3 linked regions of the Callithrix jacchus genome follow. Each later gene encodes a partner of the first gene's protein in a complex. Links are inferred from orthologs where the notes say so. Each region holds a gene or a part of one and is shown in the gene's direction. Other genes may lie near its edges. The genes, in order: PRPF19, XAB2 and PPIE.

Region 1 (5,019 bases):
GTGCCAGCATTCCTGGGATCCTGGCCCTGGACCTCTGCCCGTCTGACACCAACAAGATACTCACGGGTGAGAATCTGGGCCTAGCCCAGCAGGCCAAAGTGGGGAGGAGTGGCAGGGAAGACGCATGCTCGTTGTCCTCTTCATGGGCACGGGACCAAAGCATTTACTTCAGCAAAAGGGCCTGGGTGGGCCTGACTCATTATTTGGTCTCTTTGTGTCTCCTCTAGGTGGGGCAGATAAAAATGTTGTTGTGTTTGACAAAAGTTCTGAACAAATCCTGGCTACCCTCAAAGGCCATACCAAGAAGGTCACCAGCGTGGTGTTTCACCCTTCCCAGGTAAGGGCTTCTCTTAGCCACCCTTGGTTCTTCTTTCCTTGGCTGCTGTTTGTCCCTGAGTCCCCTGCTGTCTTTGTGTGAACCGAGGCTGAGAAAGAGCTCTGACTCCTGAGACTGGGCACCTGGAGGGGCTTCACTTTGGAGTTCTGGAGATTGCTCTTAACTCTGCGTGAGACCTTCTAAAGCAGTGGTCTTTCAACCAGGGAGAGAAAGGAAATGTGTAGTCTGACAAGCATATTCACTTAAATGTTATATTAGGGAAAGAAAAAAATCCTATAGCGTTCATAATACAAACTACAGAAAACAACATTCAGCACAGTCTCGACTCACAGGTATGAGGAAGACAGATACATGTGCTTTCCCATGATCCTCCAAGAGATGTAAAAACCATGTTGGCTATTGAAAATGGTGTGGGTTGTCAACAGAAAGTCTGGTTTACAGAGTAAAGGAAACTCATGGGACCAGAAGAATGATATTATGGGATTCGAATTTTAAGCCCAAGACAGTTTGGGTTTAGGGCTGCAGGACGGTGGTTGGTTAGTGCTTCCCAGTCAAGCTCTCCCTTGGACTTTAGGGAAATGAGAAATGTAAGAATACCATGGTGAATTTTTCATGACTGAATGTATTCAAATCCAAAGCACTATTTTCTTGCTTATGGGATGTCAATAGTTATGTCTCATGAAATTGTATTGCTAAAAAAGATGGTAGTTATTTTTACCTCATGGTTTTTAATGTCCTAACTAAACAAAAAAATCGGTAAGTGACACGAAATTCTCTCCCTGCCCAAGTTTTTTGGAAAATTAACTTACGGTGGAAATCCATAAATGTGGGATGTGCTGAAATACCACTGTGCAGCCCCTTACAGTCCCAGTACTGCTCAGACCTGTGCCATGCAGTACAGTACCAGTTAGGTACATGTGGCTATTTAAATTTCAATGAAATAGAATAAAAAATTTAAACCCTCAATGGTACTAGCTACATGTTTCCTCCTCTGGTCCTGGAAATGGGGTGGGAAAATCGCTCTATGTTGCAGTTAGCCTTTTTACCACTAGATGGCGAGGCCTCCTACACAAGTCCTGATGCTGTATGAGTTACCATTTTAATAGCGTTTACCACTGGCTGTCTTGGGCACCATTGGGTGGGTAGGTGGTTCCAGGGAGGGCAGGGCTGAAAGGAGAAGCAGTTGTTGGTAGTTGTGGGCATCCCCAGCCCCCTTTTATAAGATTGTTAGGATCTATATCCTTTTTCTGACTGATACTCTCTGATATTTGTTTTCCTTTTAGGACCTGGTGTTTTCTGCTTCCCCCGATGCCACTATTAGGATTTGGTCGGTCCCCAATGCGTCTTGTGTACAGGTGGTTCGGGCCCATGAGAGTGCTGTGACCGGCCTCAGCCTTCATGCCACTGGTGACTATCTCCTGAGCTCCTCCGATGATCAGGTGCGGTCCCAGCCAGTGCCCTGGAGAGGCCTGCTGGTCCCCAAGCTTGAACATCCTGGGTGGCAGGAACATCTTCCCACCCCAGGTGGTTCCCCAGAACCTCAAAGGGGAATGTTTCCTCTGCTGGGAGGTGCTAGGTTTGCCAGGGTTTGCGAAACCAGGGGCTCTGCCTTCCTGAAGGGCCACCAAAGCCTAGGACCCACTCTCTCTCTGACTCCATCGTCTCTCTCTCTCTCTCTCTTTTTTTTTTTTCCAGTACTGGGCTTTCTCTGACATCCAAACAGGGCGTGTGCTTACCAAGGTGACAGATGAGACCTCCGGCTGCTGTAAGTTGCCTTGTAGACACTCAGCTTTTTGTTTGCTGTTTATCATTTATTTTTATGTTTTATTTAGTCATTTGCTTATTTGTTCTAAAGATACATTTACCACCAGCACCTGTCTAGTGCCAGGCTTTGTCCTGGGTGCACTGACGAATGTGAAGAACAAGGAACCTACCTTTGCTGCTCTTAGTCTCTCCCTGGTGGGCTCTAATCACAGGTCTGTCTTCCCTCTTCCACAGCTCTCACCTGTGCACAGTTCCACCCTGACGGACTCATCTTTGGAACGGGAACCATGGACTCTCAGATCAAGATCTGGGACTTGAAGGTAGGAGAACATGGTAGGCCTCCATCTGAGGCCCCGGGCTGGAGGGAGCGTCTGTGACAGTGCAGTGCTGATTGGGTGCTTGTGGCACCTGGCCTTGAGGGTGGAGAGACACTGGCTGTGCATGTGTGATATGATGGTGTGGTCTGGGTGGCATCCTGCTGGCTGTCCTTCCTGGAAGGACAGTGGTGGACATCTCAGGTAGGAGTTTGCTGAGCCCCATTTTCTTCCTCTCGTGATGTATGGGTGACATATTTTACTCCCCACCGCCACTGTAGGAACGAACCAATGTGGCCAACTTCCCTGGCCACTCGGGCCCCATCACCAGCATTGCCTTCTCTGAGAATGGTTACTACCTGGCGACAGCGGCTGATGACTCCTCTGTTAAGCTTTGGGATCTGCGCAAGCTTAAGAACTTTAAGACGTTGCAGCTGGATAGCAACTTCGAGGTGTGCCCCTCTCCCTCCCCAGCTTCCCATTGTGCCTCCTTATTTGTTGATTATTGAATTAATCTCATTGCTTCTGCTTATCTGCAATTGCCCCATAGTTTCTGTTCCCCTCGTGTGACCTTTCTGTTTCTAACAGGTAAAGTCACTGATCTTTGACCAGAGTGGTACCTACCTGGCCCTTGGGGGCACGGATGTCCAGATCTACATCTGCAAACAATGGACGGAGATTCTTCACTTTACAGGTAGAGGCTGGTCTCTAGGTGCCCAGGCCTGGAGGGAAGCCTCACTGGGTTAGGAATCTCTAAGGCTTGCATGAATTTACCTAAGCAGCTTTCGGTTACCACCTAAGGCAGAGCTTTATAGCTAAGGAAGCAGACTGAGACTGCATGGCAGTAAATGCTAGTACCAGCTCTGCCACTTCCATGCCTTGTGGCATTGGGCAGGTTGCTGGAGGAAGAGAAGACTCCTCCCTCTGAAGGTTTGCTAACTGAATCTGAAATAAATGGACATTAGACAGAGTGACAGGAGGAAAGCCATTTTAATTCTCTGTGCACGAGAGTCCCACAAAACATTAGACTTGCAGAGGGTCAGATGATTGAAGATCATACAGTCACATCCCTTAATGGGGATATGTTCTGAGAAATATCTTGTTAGGCCATTTCGCCATGTGCAACCATTATAGCGTGTACTTACACATACCTAGTGGTGTGGCCTACTACACACCAAGGCTAGTGCTATAACCTTAGTAGAGTCTATTATTGCTCCTAGGCTACAAACCTGTACAGTGTATTAAATGTACTGAATACAGTTATAACACAATGGTAAGTATTTGTGTATCTAAACAGATCTAAACATAGAAAAGGTTCAGTTAAAAATAAGGTATGAGAGATTGTTAAAAAATGGTGCACTGGGAAATGGTGCTTGCCATGAATGGAGCTTGCAGGACTGGAAGTGGCTTTCAGTGAGTGAGTGGTGAGTGAATGTGAAGGCCTAGGACATTACCATACACTGACTGCTGTAGACTTTGTAAACACAGTACACTTCGGTTCTACTAAGTTTATAAAACGCTTTTTCTTCAGTAATAAATTAGCCTTAGCTAACTTTTTTACTTTATAAACTTAAAAAATTGACTCTTGTAACAACATTTAGCTTAAAGCAAACATTGTACAGCTGTACAAAAATATTGTCTCTCTTTACATCCTTGTTCTATAAGCTTTTTTCTGTTTTCTAATATTTTTACTTTTTAATTTTTTCCTGTTAAAAACTAAGATACAAGCACACATTAGCCTAGGCCTACGGGTCAGGAACACCAGCTGTATTAGTCCGTTCTCACACTGTTATGAAGAACTGCCTGAGACTGGGTAATTTATAAGGGCGAGAGGCTTAATGACTCACAGTGACTGGGGAGGCCTCAGGAAGCTTCCAATCATGGTAGAAGGGAAAGCAGCAGCGGGAGAGACAAATGCTGAGCAAAGGGGGTAAAGTCCCTTATAAAATCATCAGATCTCTTGAGAACTCAGTATCCTGAGAGCAGCATGGGAGTAACCACCTCCACAATTCAATTACTTCCCACCGGGTTCCTCCCACAACATGTCGGGATTATGGGCACTACAATTCAACGTGAGCTTTGAGTGGGGGCACAGCCATATCACCAACATCACTGTCTTTACCTCCACATCTTGTCCCACTGGAAGGTCCCAGGGGGCACTAACACGCATAGACCTGTCATCTCCTTTGATGATGCCTTCTTCCTGGATACCTCTTGAAAGGGCCTGCCTGGTGCTGTTTTATAGTTAACTTTTTTTTGTAAGTAGAAAGAATATACTTAAAATAATGCCAAAAAGTACAGTATAGGTATACCTTGTCTTTTTGCACTCAGCTTTATTGTGCTTTGTGGATCCTTTGTTTTTTGTGAATGGAAGATTTTTGGCAGCCCTGCCCCAAGTGGGTCTGTCAGTGCCATTTTTCCAACAGTGTCTATTCACTTGGTGTCTGTGTGTCACATTTTGGTAATTCTCACAGCATTTCAAACTTTTTCGTGATACGTATCCGTTATGGTGATCTCTGATTAATGATCTTTGATGTTGCTATTGTAATTGTTTGGGGGGGGGCACCATGAACTGTGCCCATATAAGATGTTGGATTTCATTGA
Region 2 (5,425 bases), on another chromosome or scaffold:
ATCGTGTGGGCTTTACGCAGATACACAAATGGGGAGGTCGTACATGCGCCTACATGCTGCTGCCTGCCCATCTGCCTGGGGGGGTGTGGCCTTCTCCCTGGGGACTGGCAGCCAGTGTCAGCGGAGCTGGGGAGCCACCCACCGTCACCCATAATGTCACCTCCTATGGGACCAGACTTTGCTTCACAGGTCTCATGGCACCCCTGTTCTTTTGATTCTCAGAGGGAGATTGTGCAGAGCAAAGACCCCCATAAATGTCATTAGGCACAGGGAGGCATGGACAGGGAAGGGCCTGAGCGAGACCCTGGCAGGCTCCCTACAGGTGTGACCCAAGGACATCCCAGCTTCCCAGTGGTCTCTACCTACAGACTCTTAACGTGTGACTCCCCCTCTGGCAACAGGCGTATGAGCGCGGCATCTCGCTGTTCAAGTGGCCCAATGTGTCGGACATCTGGAGCACCTACCTGACCAAATTCATCGCCCGCTATGGGGGCCGCAAGCTGGAGCGGGCACGGGACCTGTTTGAACAGGCTCTGGATGGCTGCCCACCAAAATATGCCAAGAGTGAGGCGGGCAGAGGGAGTGCGGTGGGCAGGCAGGCCAGGTTTCTGACTAGCCCCGGCCGACCACGCTCCCCTCTCCCCGCTGCCCCACACAGCCTTGTACCTGTTGTATGCGCAGCTGGAGGAGGAGTGGGGCCTGGCCCGGCATGCCATGGCCGTGTACGAGCGCGCCACCAGGGCCGTGGAGCCTGCGCAGCAGTACGACATGTTCAACATCTACATCAAGCGGGCGGCCGAGATCTACGGAGTCACCCACACCCGAGGCATCTACCAGAAGGCCATCGAGGTGCCCATCGAAGGGGGCCGGGCTGGTGGGAGGGGCTGGGGAGGGGCCTTCCGGAATAGCTGTGGTGTGGTTGGGAGCCCCCGAGCCTACCCCCTCATTTATTCCCCATGGACTCACTACCCCCAGCCTGGCCTCACTCCCATCCCCCTGCCTCACTCACCCCAGCCTCCCCGCCAAGGCCTCACTCCCCAACCCCGGCCTCACTCCCCCAGCCCTCTGCCTCACTCACCTCAGCCTCCCCTGCATGGCCTTACCACCCGGCCTCAGCGTCTGAGGCCTCACATGCCCCTTGGCTACTCTCCCTCCTCTGGCTTTCTCCTCCCTTCACTCCCCTAGAATAGCCCTTCTCCTTCACTGCTTCACTCCTCCCCCGCTTCACTCCCTGACCCAGGCCTAACTCCCGGAGGCCTCCCAGCCTCACTTCTCCCACCTGACTCCCTTCGTCCTCACTCTCAGCCTCTGCCCCTGGCCTCATTCCCAGAGGCAGCACTCCTTCCCCCAACCCCCTGACTCACTGCCACCATCTCACTCCCCCCAGCCTCCCTCTTTACTCCCCTACCCTGGCCTCACTACCCCCACAAGCCTTACTGCCTCCCCCTGGCCTAACTCCCCCCAAGGCCTCACCCCCTCCCCCGGCCTCACCCCCTCCCCCTGGCCTCACCCCATCTTGGCCTCACTTCCCCTCCCCATCCTTGGCTTCACTCCCCTGAACTTTCTTCTCCCCCACTTCACTCCCCCGACCTTACTCCTTCCCCCTCAGCGTCACCCCTGCTTACATCTCTCATGGCCACTGCCTCCCCACCTTACTCCTCCTCCCCACTTCACTCCCCTACCCCCCACACTGATTCACTCCTCCCCGCCCCTGCCTCACTATCCCCCATGGCCTCACTCCCCGGTGGCCTCACTCCCCTAGGCCTCACGCCTCCTGGTCTCACCCACCCCATCTCACTTCCCAAGGCCTCACACCCCCTCCTCGCCTCACCCTCCCCCTGCCTCACTGCCTGTGCATTCTGTGCTCACTGCCCCCCACCTCACTCCCTTCCCCGCCACGGCCTCACTCCCCCTCCCACGGCCTCACTCCCAGGCTCATTCTTGGCCTCACCCCTTTCAGCCTCACTCCCCCCAGCCTCATGCCACCCGTCTTACCCCACTTGGCCTCACTCCCCCTCCATCCCTCCTGGCCACACACCCCCAGACCTCACCCCCCAGGTCCCCAGCCTCATTCCTCAAGGCCTCCCAGCCTTACTCCTTGCGGCCTCACTCCCCCCGGCCTCAACCCCCGACAGCCTCTCACTCCCCCTGCCACCGCCTCACCCCTCAAAGCCTCACCTCCTCAGCTACTCCCCCACCTCACTCCCTCCCACTGGCTTCACTCCCCCTCCATCTTACTCCACCCCACCTCACTGCCCCAGGCCTTACTCCTTCACTCCAGCCTCACTCTTCCCCCCCGGCCTCACTCCCTCCCAGCCTCACTCCTTCCCCCGCCCTGGCCTCACTCCCCCGTGGCTTCAGTCCCTGTGGCCTCACTGCCCAGAGGCTTCACTCCTCCCAGCCTCACTCCCCCTCCCTGTCTCACCCCCCTCATTTCACTCCCTGCAGCCTCACCCCCCAACCCTCCCACATGACTGCTCCTTCCCACCAGCCTCACTCCAACCCTAGGTCTCACTGCCCCCCTCACTCCCTGGCTCACTCCCAGCCTCAGTACCCAGCGTCACTTCCTGAGGCCTCACTCCCGGCACCTCATTCCCGACCTCACTCCCCCTGGCCTTATTCCCTGTGGCCTCACTCCCACTGGCCTTACTTCCTGAGGCCTCACTCCTCCCTGGCTTCACTCCCCCTGGCCTCACTTCCCAAGGCCTCACTCTCCTGAGGCCTCACTTCCCCTGGCCTCAGCCCAACCTGTTCTCACTCCACCCTGGCCTTACTCCCCAAGGCCTCACTCCTTGTGGCCTCACTCCTGGCCTCCCTTTCCGGCCTCACTCCCTGCAGTCTCACTCTCTGAGGCCTCACTCCCCCAGGCTCTTTCCCCGGCCTCACTCCCCGTGGCCTCACCTTTCCTGGCCTCCCTAACCACCCCCCACCGACCCGTCGTCGTGCGCAGGTGCTGTCCGATGAGCATGCACGTGAGATGTGCCTGCGGTTCGCAGACATGGAGTGCAAGCTGGGGGAGATCGACCGCGCCCGGGCCATCTACAGCTTCTGCTCCCAGATCTGCGACCCCCGGGTAGGGCTGGGGGCTGTGGGAGAACAGGTATTTGGGTTGGGGGCTACGGTGGAGCCAGCCAGCTCATGAGCACCTGCCCTGCCCTGCCCCCCACACAGACGACCGGGGCGTTCTGGCAGACATGGAAGGACTTTGAGGTCCGGCATGGCAACGAGGACACCGTCAAGGAGATGCTGCGCATCCGGCGGAGTGTGCAGGCCACATACAACACACAGGTCAACTTCATGGCCTCGCAGATGCTCAAGGTCTCCGGCAGCGCCACGGGCACTGGTGAGCACGCAGCCATCGCTCACCTTGGCCGGCTGGGGCATCTCAGCCTGACCTGGCCTTCCTTTTTGGATCTGGGAGCCCTGGGGCTTCATGGGAACCTCCTTGAGGGCAGGGCCATTGCCTGGGGGACCAGGACAGCTTGGCATCTGATGTGTGGGAGGGGCCCCCATGGCACCGTTGCCCCTGCTTTCACCCCACAGTGTCCGACCTGGCCCCTGGGCAGAGCGGCATGGATGACATGAAGCTGTTGGAGCAGCGTGCAGAACAGCTGGCAGCCGAGGCAGAGCGAGACCAGCCCCTGCGCGCCCAGAGCAAGATCCTGTTCGTGAGGTGAGGGCAGGTCCTGGGAGGGGACAAGACAGGGACAGCCCCACGGGGTCCTGGGGTGGGGAACTGAGGCAGCTTGTTCTGTCCCCAGGAGCGACGCCTCCAGGGAGGAGCTGGCAGAGCTGGCGCAGCAGGTCAACCCCGAGGAAATCCAGCTGGGCGAGGATGAGGACGAGGACGAGATGGACCTGGAGCCCAACGGTGAGTGCCTGGCGGGGAGCAGGGCAGGGCGGGCCTCAGGATAGGACACTGCCCGGAGGGTGACTGGCTCCCACCTCCTCCACAGAGGTCCGGCTAGAGCAGCAGAGCGTGCCAGCTGCCGTGTTCGGGAGCCTGAAAGAAGACTGACCCATCCCTCCTCCCTTCCCCCAATACAGCCGTGTTTGTACATCATGGTCTGAGCCTCCTTCCTGCTGCCCAGGTGCCCGAGGGATTGCAGCTCAGGAGTGCCTGGCCCTGGGCCCGGATTGGCTGTTGCGGGAGGTGGGGCGGCCGGGCCCCAGGCCAGACACCACCCAGCCCCACCCGGCAGAGCCAGTTCTGGACTCGGGCAGCCAGTCCCTCCGCTGCCTGGGGCCTTGGAGTGGGTCCTGCCCAGAAACCTCCTTGAGACTCTATGGCTGTGGAAGGGTGATCCCGTCCCTGGCTGCCCAGGTCTCACTAGCCCCTGCCTCTCAGAGCCCTTCTGTTGTCCCAGGCATCTGCCACCTCCCAGGGTGGCACCCACTGTCAGAGCGAGCCTTGGAGTCAGGCAGGCTCTGGCCCAGCTCTGGAAACTGATTAGTAAGGCTCTTCTGTGCCTGGAGGGGGGCTGGGTGCCAGACGTCCTGCACGGCCCAGCACCAGGGCGTGGTCCTTAGTCCTAAGCCTGGGAAGCCATTATCAGGCTCTAGGCTATTAAGGGGTTTTAAGCATCAAGGGATATAATCAGATTTGTGCTTGGACTGGGTCACACAGGCTGCTGTGTCGGCAGGAGGCAGCTGGGGACATGGGGCGGCTTGGTCTGTTGGCTTGGACTTTGTGGAGAGGTGATGGGGCTGGAGAGGAGTGAATGAAGCGGGAGAGCCGAGCTATGTGGGACTGGGCAGAAGCTGGGCAGCCAGTGCCAGCCTGGGTTGTGTGGTGGGCCTTGCATCTGAGATGCCCAGGCCATGCCAAGGGGCAACGGGATCCTCAGAGAAGAGAAACCCAGAATCACTGGCTCAGGGTGGACGTAGAATTTGGCCCCACACCAAATGCCGGTGAGGGCCAGTAACAAATGCCACGCAGAATCCAGCAAGCAGGGCCAGCGAAACACCCCTGGGTGGGGGCTGGGGGTGATGGCAGGGAGGCAGGGCCCTCACAGACCCTGTGGCAGCAGCTGCATTAGAAGATTATAGGGGTAGAAAACATGAGTTGGTTTGAGAAAGAACAGGAGACCGGAAACACGCCCAGGGAGTGTGGGACCCCGGCCAGCCTTGGAGGGGACAAGGCTCAACTTCTCTTTAAATTATTTTATTCAAGAAGTGGGGAAGGACAGACAAGGGGACTGAGCTGAGCCCTGAGTCCCTGAACCTCCCAGCTCAGCCCCCACAGCAGGACTGGACTCAGAGGGTGGAGGCTCCAGCCCCACCCAGAAACGGCTGGGGACAGACAGGACCCAGGAACACCCACTCACTGTCCTCCGGGAGACGGTGGCCGCAGCACACGGGGCCCAGCCCCGAGTGGGGCTATTTGGGGGTGCTGCCGCCCCTCTTGGGCGTGGCGGGTTTCTTG
Region 3 (5,671 bases), on another chromosome or scaffold:
CTCTCCTGTTGTAACTCAGCAGCTTCTCAAAGCCCCCAAATCTTCCAGGTGGCTTACAGCATCCTCATGATGTGGCCCTCTGCCCACCTTTGCCATGTGATTATCATGCCCTCCACCCCACCACCCCAGACTCTGGTCTTTTAGTCCCTTGAGTGTGCAGAAGTGGTCTCCTCCTCTCTCTGGCTCCTTTTCCTTCTGAATTCAGCTTAAATTTCACCTCAGGAAGGTCTTAACCCCCTGCTCTATCTAAAATAGGTGGTCCCATTATTTTCCTACCACCTGTAATTTATTTATTAGTGGGTTTAGTCCAAGATGCTCATCCAAACTGCACTATTTTGTAAGCTCCCTGCTATTTTGCAGACCTTGGTCAAAGTGAAACATTTTACAGGGGTTTGGGCTGTGAGAAACCTCCTGCCTCACCACCTGACCACAAGATGGACAAAGGCCCAACTACCAACTAAAGAAACATCCCGATCACATCTTGCTGGGCAAAGGCCCAAGGGACACCACGATGACATCCCACTGGAACAAGGGCCAAACATGCTCATGAGAACATCTTATCAATACCTTGCTGGGCAGCAAGCCATACTGCCCAGACCCCTCCCACCCATACCTATAAATTGTTCCAGCCTGTAAGCAGTGGTGGGCACTGGCATTAGGCTAGTTCCCCACTTCTGTAGGTTTTATGCTAGACATAAAGCCTGTGTTTGGTGTCGAGTCTCCCTCTGTGTGTGTGTGTGTGTGTGTGTGTGTGTGTGTGTGTGTGTTTATTTAACCCTTGCCTTCCCTTTAAAACCTAACACAAGAGTCAGCAAATGTTCTTCCTGAAGAGCCAGATGGTAAATATTACTGTAGGCTTTGCAGGCCATAGCTCTTCTGCCCTTGTAGCAGGAAAGCAGCCAAGTCATACTTACGGAAATAAGCGTGGCTGTATCCCCATAAAGCTTTCTTTATGGACAGTGAAATTTTAATTTCACATTAATTTTCATGTGCTAAAAAAAATATATATGTGTATATATGTATATATATGTGTGTGTATATATATATATATATATAGAGAGAGAGAGAGAGAGAGAGAAAGAGAGAGAGAGAGAGTTGGTGTTTCGCTCTTGTCACCAGGCTGGAGTGCAATGGTGCGTTCTCCACTCACTGCAACCTCCACCTCCTGGGTTCAAGCGATTCTCTAGCCTCAGTGTCCTGGGCAGCTGGGATTACAGGAGCCCGCCACCACGCCCAGCTAATTTTTGTATTTTTAGTATAGAGAGGATTTTACCATGTTGGCCAGGCTGGTCTCGAACTTCTGACCTCAAGTGATCCGCCCGCGTCAGCCTCCCAAAGTGCTGGGATTACAGGCGTGAGCCACCACGCCTGGGCAAGAAAATATTCTTAATTTTTTCCCAACGATTTCAAAGGTAAAAATCATTCTTAGCTCCTGGGTTGTCAAAAAAAAGACGCGCAGGATGACCACGCACCGTAGTTTATCGTTTGCCCAAAAGAGTCGGATTGATTTGGCCAAGGTTTGCCTGCCCCAACACCGTGAGCCCTGGGAAGCGCCAGGATCCCGTCCTCTTGTTCACCGTGGCGCACCGCAAGCTGTCCCGGATGCTTCCGGGCAGCGGGTTGCGGGTTGGACCAACGCCAGGGTGGGCGGGGTCTGAGAGGTGAGGGCTGCGGGGATGGGGCGGGGCCAAAGAGGGGCGGAACAGTGGGGAAGGGGGCGGGACAGTGGGGAAGGGGGCGGGTCGAGTGCCGGCTTCCGGCGGAAAAGGGCGCGAGCAAGATGGCCACTACCAAGCGCGTTTTGTACGTGGGTGAGCAGGCGGTGGCGCTAGCTGGAGTCTGGGCGAACGCGACCCCCAGAAGGTCGGGGCGTGGGGTGGGACATGTCTCTGAACCAGGAGGACGGCGAGCAACTGTCAAGGCTGGGTCTGGCGGTGGGCCCGGCGGTATAGCTCTGTCTCTAGTAGATGGTAGCAAACTAGAATGATCTTGGGAAAATGTATATTTGAAACCGTAACTTCTCTGCTTAAACTCCTTCAAAGGTTTCCCACTGTTCTCAGGAAAAAGTGCAAACTACTTAGCAGTAGCCACTTCTCCAGCTTCTTTGCTTTGCTTCCTAATTCCCTGGGTCTCCCGAAAAATGACCCATTTGCTCCTAAGTGTCAGGCTATTTCACGCCTTTGGACCTCTGCTTTTGCGAACTCCCTTGCAGTGAACAGCCTTGCCGCACACCTCAGGTGTGTGAACCCGAGACGGAATTCTGACTTGCTAGCCCGCTGAGCTCCAACGGGCCCCGAGGAGCGGTAGAGGAATATTAATGGTCCTCCAGATCCTCTTGTTAATTTGTTTTACAAACATCCAGTGCAGTGACGGCTCAGCCTCAGCCCCAGCGCCAGCCCCAGCCTAAGGGAAGGAGTTCCCAGACTAGCCAGAAAAGAAGTGGGAATTACCTCAGTAGCACACTTTTGATAAGTGCTGTAGTGGGGATGGACTATGATGATAGGGGCTTGGCTGCGGGACAAATGACCCATTCTTCTGGAGAAGTGAGGGCAAACTCTGGATGAGGTGATGCCAGAACTGATGAGCGGAAGTTAGCTACGTTACCAAAGCAGAAGCAAGGCTGTTCACTGCAAGGGATTCACAAAAGCAGAGGTCCAAAGGCGTGAAATAGCCTGACACTTGGGGGCAAGTGGGTTATTTTTCAGGTGACCTAGGGAATTGGGAAGCAAAGCAAAGAAGCTGGAGAGGTGGCTACCACTAAGGAGTTTGCACTTTATCCTGAGGACAGTGGGAAGTGTCTGAAGGAGTTTAAGCAAAGAAGTTACAGGTGCAAATCTGCATTTTCCTAAGATCATTCTAGTAGGCTTTGTGGAATTGGTAGAGGGAATGGAGGCAGGGAGGTCAGTCGTGAAGCTATTGCAGTAAACCGAGGACTAGATGATAATCTGAAAGCAGGGTGAAGAGAGGAATGTTTTCATAAGTATGGATGGGCAGAGATGAGAGGGGTGTGCGTATGTATGTGTGTGTGTACCCAAAGAACTGAATGGAAGGACCCTGTCCCCTGGCTAGCATGCTAACTGGGCTGCCAAGGACTTCTGCAAGAGTATGGAGATCAGTGGCTCAAAAGGCTCTTGACTTATTTGCAGGTGGACTGGCAGAGGAGGTGGACGACAAAGTTCTTCATGCTGCATTCATTCCTTTTGGAGACATCACAGATATTCAGATTCCTCTGGATTATGAAACAGGTGAGTTATTTTAGTGTCTCTCATGTTCAGAATCCTCCTATTAGGAAAAGGCCTTAAAAAAAATTAAAGTCACATCACAATTCTAAATATATATTCTAAATATGGTTAGTATACACTACAGTTAAGTTCATGAAGGTGCCTGGTGACAGTGATCTTGATGGAGAAGGAATGTTCTGAGGCCATGTGGTTGTGAAATTTAAATTCTTTTCAGAGTCTTCAGCTGTTGGGTTGAGATAAGACAGGTTTTTTGGTAGACCAGTAGGGAGATAGGTTTGAACTACATTGAGATTTGAATGTTGTTTTAATCTATCTGGATATTTGGTTCAATTCATTCACTTCAGAGGACAGTAAAGAAAAAAACATGAAAAAAAGAAAAATAATTAAAATTAATCTATCTGGATGGGTACCCTATCCCACCTGCTCCTTCTTGGCATCTGTGCTATTAAATGAGGCAGCAGGAAAGTCTAGCCCCATGATGGTGGGCGGGGGTGGGGTTCTTGGCCTCTGAATACCTGAGTGGGTTTCCCTTCAGTTGGTATCACAATTACAGTTCAGTTTTCTATTTTACCTTTGTTGTCATTTGTAGGATTGTAGTTTTAGGCCCAGTTTTATCATCAAACTTGCATATGATTGTTAGCAAGGTCTTTAAACTCTCTGGGCCTGAGGAATCTTTAATTTTAAAATGGGAAGGTTATATTGGCTTTCTAAGGGCCCTTCTAGCTCTGACTTCTATAATTAACGTTTTTGTGCTTAGCCTTTCTAGTTAGTTCAGCATTTTCCTGAGTATAAAGACTGAGCATCTTTATCAAGTTTTAGGATTCATGCTTTATGCACAGTTGATGCACAAAATGTATATTTGGATATATAATTGATGGGTCAAATGACTTGCTTTTTAAAATTAATTAATTATTCTTTTGAGATGGAGTCTTTCTCTGTTGCCAGGCTGGAGTGCAGTGGCGTGATCTCGGCTCACGCCGAGTCTCCTAGGTTCAAGCGATTCCCCTCCCTCAGCCTCCCGAGTAGCTGGGACTACAAGTGTGCACCACCGCACGCCTGGCTATTCTTTTTTTTTATTTTATTTTAATAGAGATGGGGTTTCACCGTGTTGGCCAGGATGGTCTCGATCTTCTGACCTTGTGATCCACCCATCTCGGCCTCCCAAAGTGCTGGGTTTACAGGCGTGAGCCACTGCACCTGGACATCTTTATTTTTCTAGTTGCCTTGCATGTAATAGTTAAGGTTTTAAGTTTGGCTTTGGTATAATAATACTTATTTTAAAGATTAAAAATACAGTTTGTTATTTAGCTATGTCCATTAAAAAAACAAAGTTTATTATTGCTTAAAGTATTGTTTAAGAAGAATCAAAGAATGAGATTCCTTCTTCTTAAATAGCTATTGGATAGAATTACAGGTGTTCAGATATGGCATGTAACTGACTTCACTTTGTGACCATCCTGTTTCTTCCCATTGCCCCACATAGTAATTACTTGTTTTTGTTTTCCATTTTGCAGAAAAGCACCGAGGATTTGCTTTTGTTGAATTCGAGTTGGCAGAGGTGAGAGTCTGTGTTACTAGTGTTTAGTCCTTGGTTTGTGGTGGTGGTACTGATTACAAAGGAAGCTTTTCACCATTTGATTAGGTTGTTGGGCCTTAAGCTGATACTGCCAGAGAGATCAGAAGTGTTTTTCTAAGAAAGGCTTCCCTCACATAATCAGACTGGACTGTGAATAACACATCAGACCTTCTTCCAGGCCCTTCCCTTCTTGCCCTGCAGTGGAGCTCCTACACCCCTGTTCATTGAGCATTCTTGCCTGGCAGCAGTGGTGATTATTTCTTGTGCCTTCAACTGGATGGCAGATTGTTGCACCACCAGCTCTAAAATCAGCCAGGAAGTGCTCTTTGTTAGAAACACACACAACCTAGGCAAGAAATGTAGAGGTGGCATTTTCCTAGATTTTTGCTTCTAAGTATGTTTAGACACCATAAGAAGCATTTGGCTGCAAGCCTAAACTTGTACCTTTGTCTTTTCTTTGCAGGATGCTGCAGCAGCTATCGACAACATGGTATGGCTAGGAATCTTTGTTATAGCCGAAATTGCTTTTTGGTGGTATAGAGGGTCCTTATTCATATATCAGTTTTCTGGACCTCCAAAGTTACAAGGTTGCAAGGGGAGGTAAAAATTCTCATGTGAAAATATTCATTGTGAATTGATCACTTATAAAATCAGTTCTTAGACTCCTTTCTCATTTAACAATAATGTAAGTCCTCATCATCCGTGTTGGTCAGTCTCTCAGTGGCTGTCCCATGTATAGGATAGTAAATTGCAAACAACGCAAATTGATTGTACAGTGTAACTGCATATTTTGCAAAATAGCAAGATTTCGTGAACTATTAGACCAATTTACAATTGAGAAGAGAAATTTAAT

The links.
Region 2: PRPF19 (region 1) and XAB2 share a complex: the UniProt entries of both Homo sapiens proteins name them as parts of the XAB2 complex. The link is inferred for Callithrix jacchus from reciprocal best matches to the Homo sapiens genes PRPF19 and XAB2.
Region 3: PRPF19 (region 1) and PPIE share a complex: the UniProt entries of both Homo sapiens proteins name them as parts of the XAB2 complex. The link is inferred for Callithrix jacchus from reciprocal best matches to the Homo sapiens genes PRPF19 and PPIE.

What each region holds. Positions count from the first base shown.
Region 1 is NC_133511.1:117,920,033-117,925,051, reverse strand, and holds part of PRPF19 (pre-mRNA-processing factor 19), read left to right. Parts: coding exon 1-66; intron 67-227; coding exon 228-337; intron 338-1,620; coding exon 1,621-1,776; intron 1,777-2,032; coding exon 2,033-2,102; intron 2,103-2,335; coding exon 2,336-2,421; intron 2,422-2,696; coding exon 2,697-2,867; intron 2,868-3,003; coding exon 3,004-3,109; intron 3,110-5,019. UniProt on the Homo sapiens protein: Ubiquitin-protein ligase which is a core component of several complexes mainly involved pre-mRNA splicing and DNA repair. Required for pre-mRNA splicing as component of the spliceosome.
Region 2 is NC_133523.1:7,196,407-7,201,831, reverse strand, and holds the end of XAB2 (pre-mRNA-splicing factor SYF1), read left to right. Parts: intron 1-401; coding exon 402-564; intron 565-658; coding exon 659-849; intron 850-2,950; coding exon 2,951-3,073; intron 3,074-3,171; coding exon 3,172-3,343; intron 3,344-3,543; coding exon 3,544-3,673; intron 3,674-3,761; coding exon 3,762-3,871; intron 3,872-3,956; coding exon 3,957-4,018; 3' UTR 4,019-4,063; downstream 4,064-5,425. Other genes in the region: CAMSAP3 (calmodulin-regulated spectrin-associated protein 3), read right to left, coding at 5,380-5,425. UniProt on the Homo sapiens protein: Involved in pre-mRNA splicing as component of the spliceosome. Involved in transcription-coupled repair (TCR), transcription and pre-mRNA splicing.
Region 3 is NC_133508.1:76,290,679-76,296,349, forward strand, and holds the start of PPIE (peptidyl-prolyl cis-trans isomerase E), read left to right. Parts: upstream 1-1,761; 5' UTR 1,762-1,780; coding exon 1,781-1,811; intron 1,812-3,146; coding exon 3,147-3,245; intron 3,246-4,756; coding exon 4,757-4,800; intron 4,801-5,281; coding exon 5,282-5,308; intron 5,309-5,671. UniProt on the Homo sapiens protein: Involved in pre-mRNA splicing as component of the spliceosome. Combines RNA-binding and PPIase activities.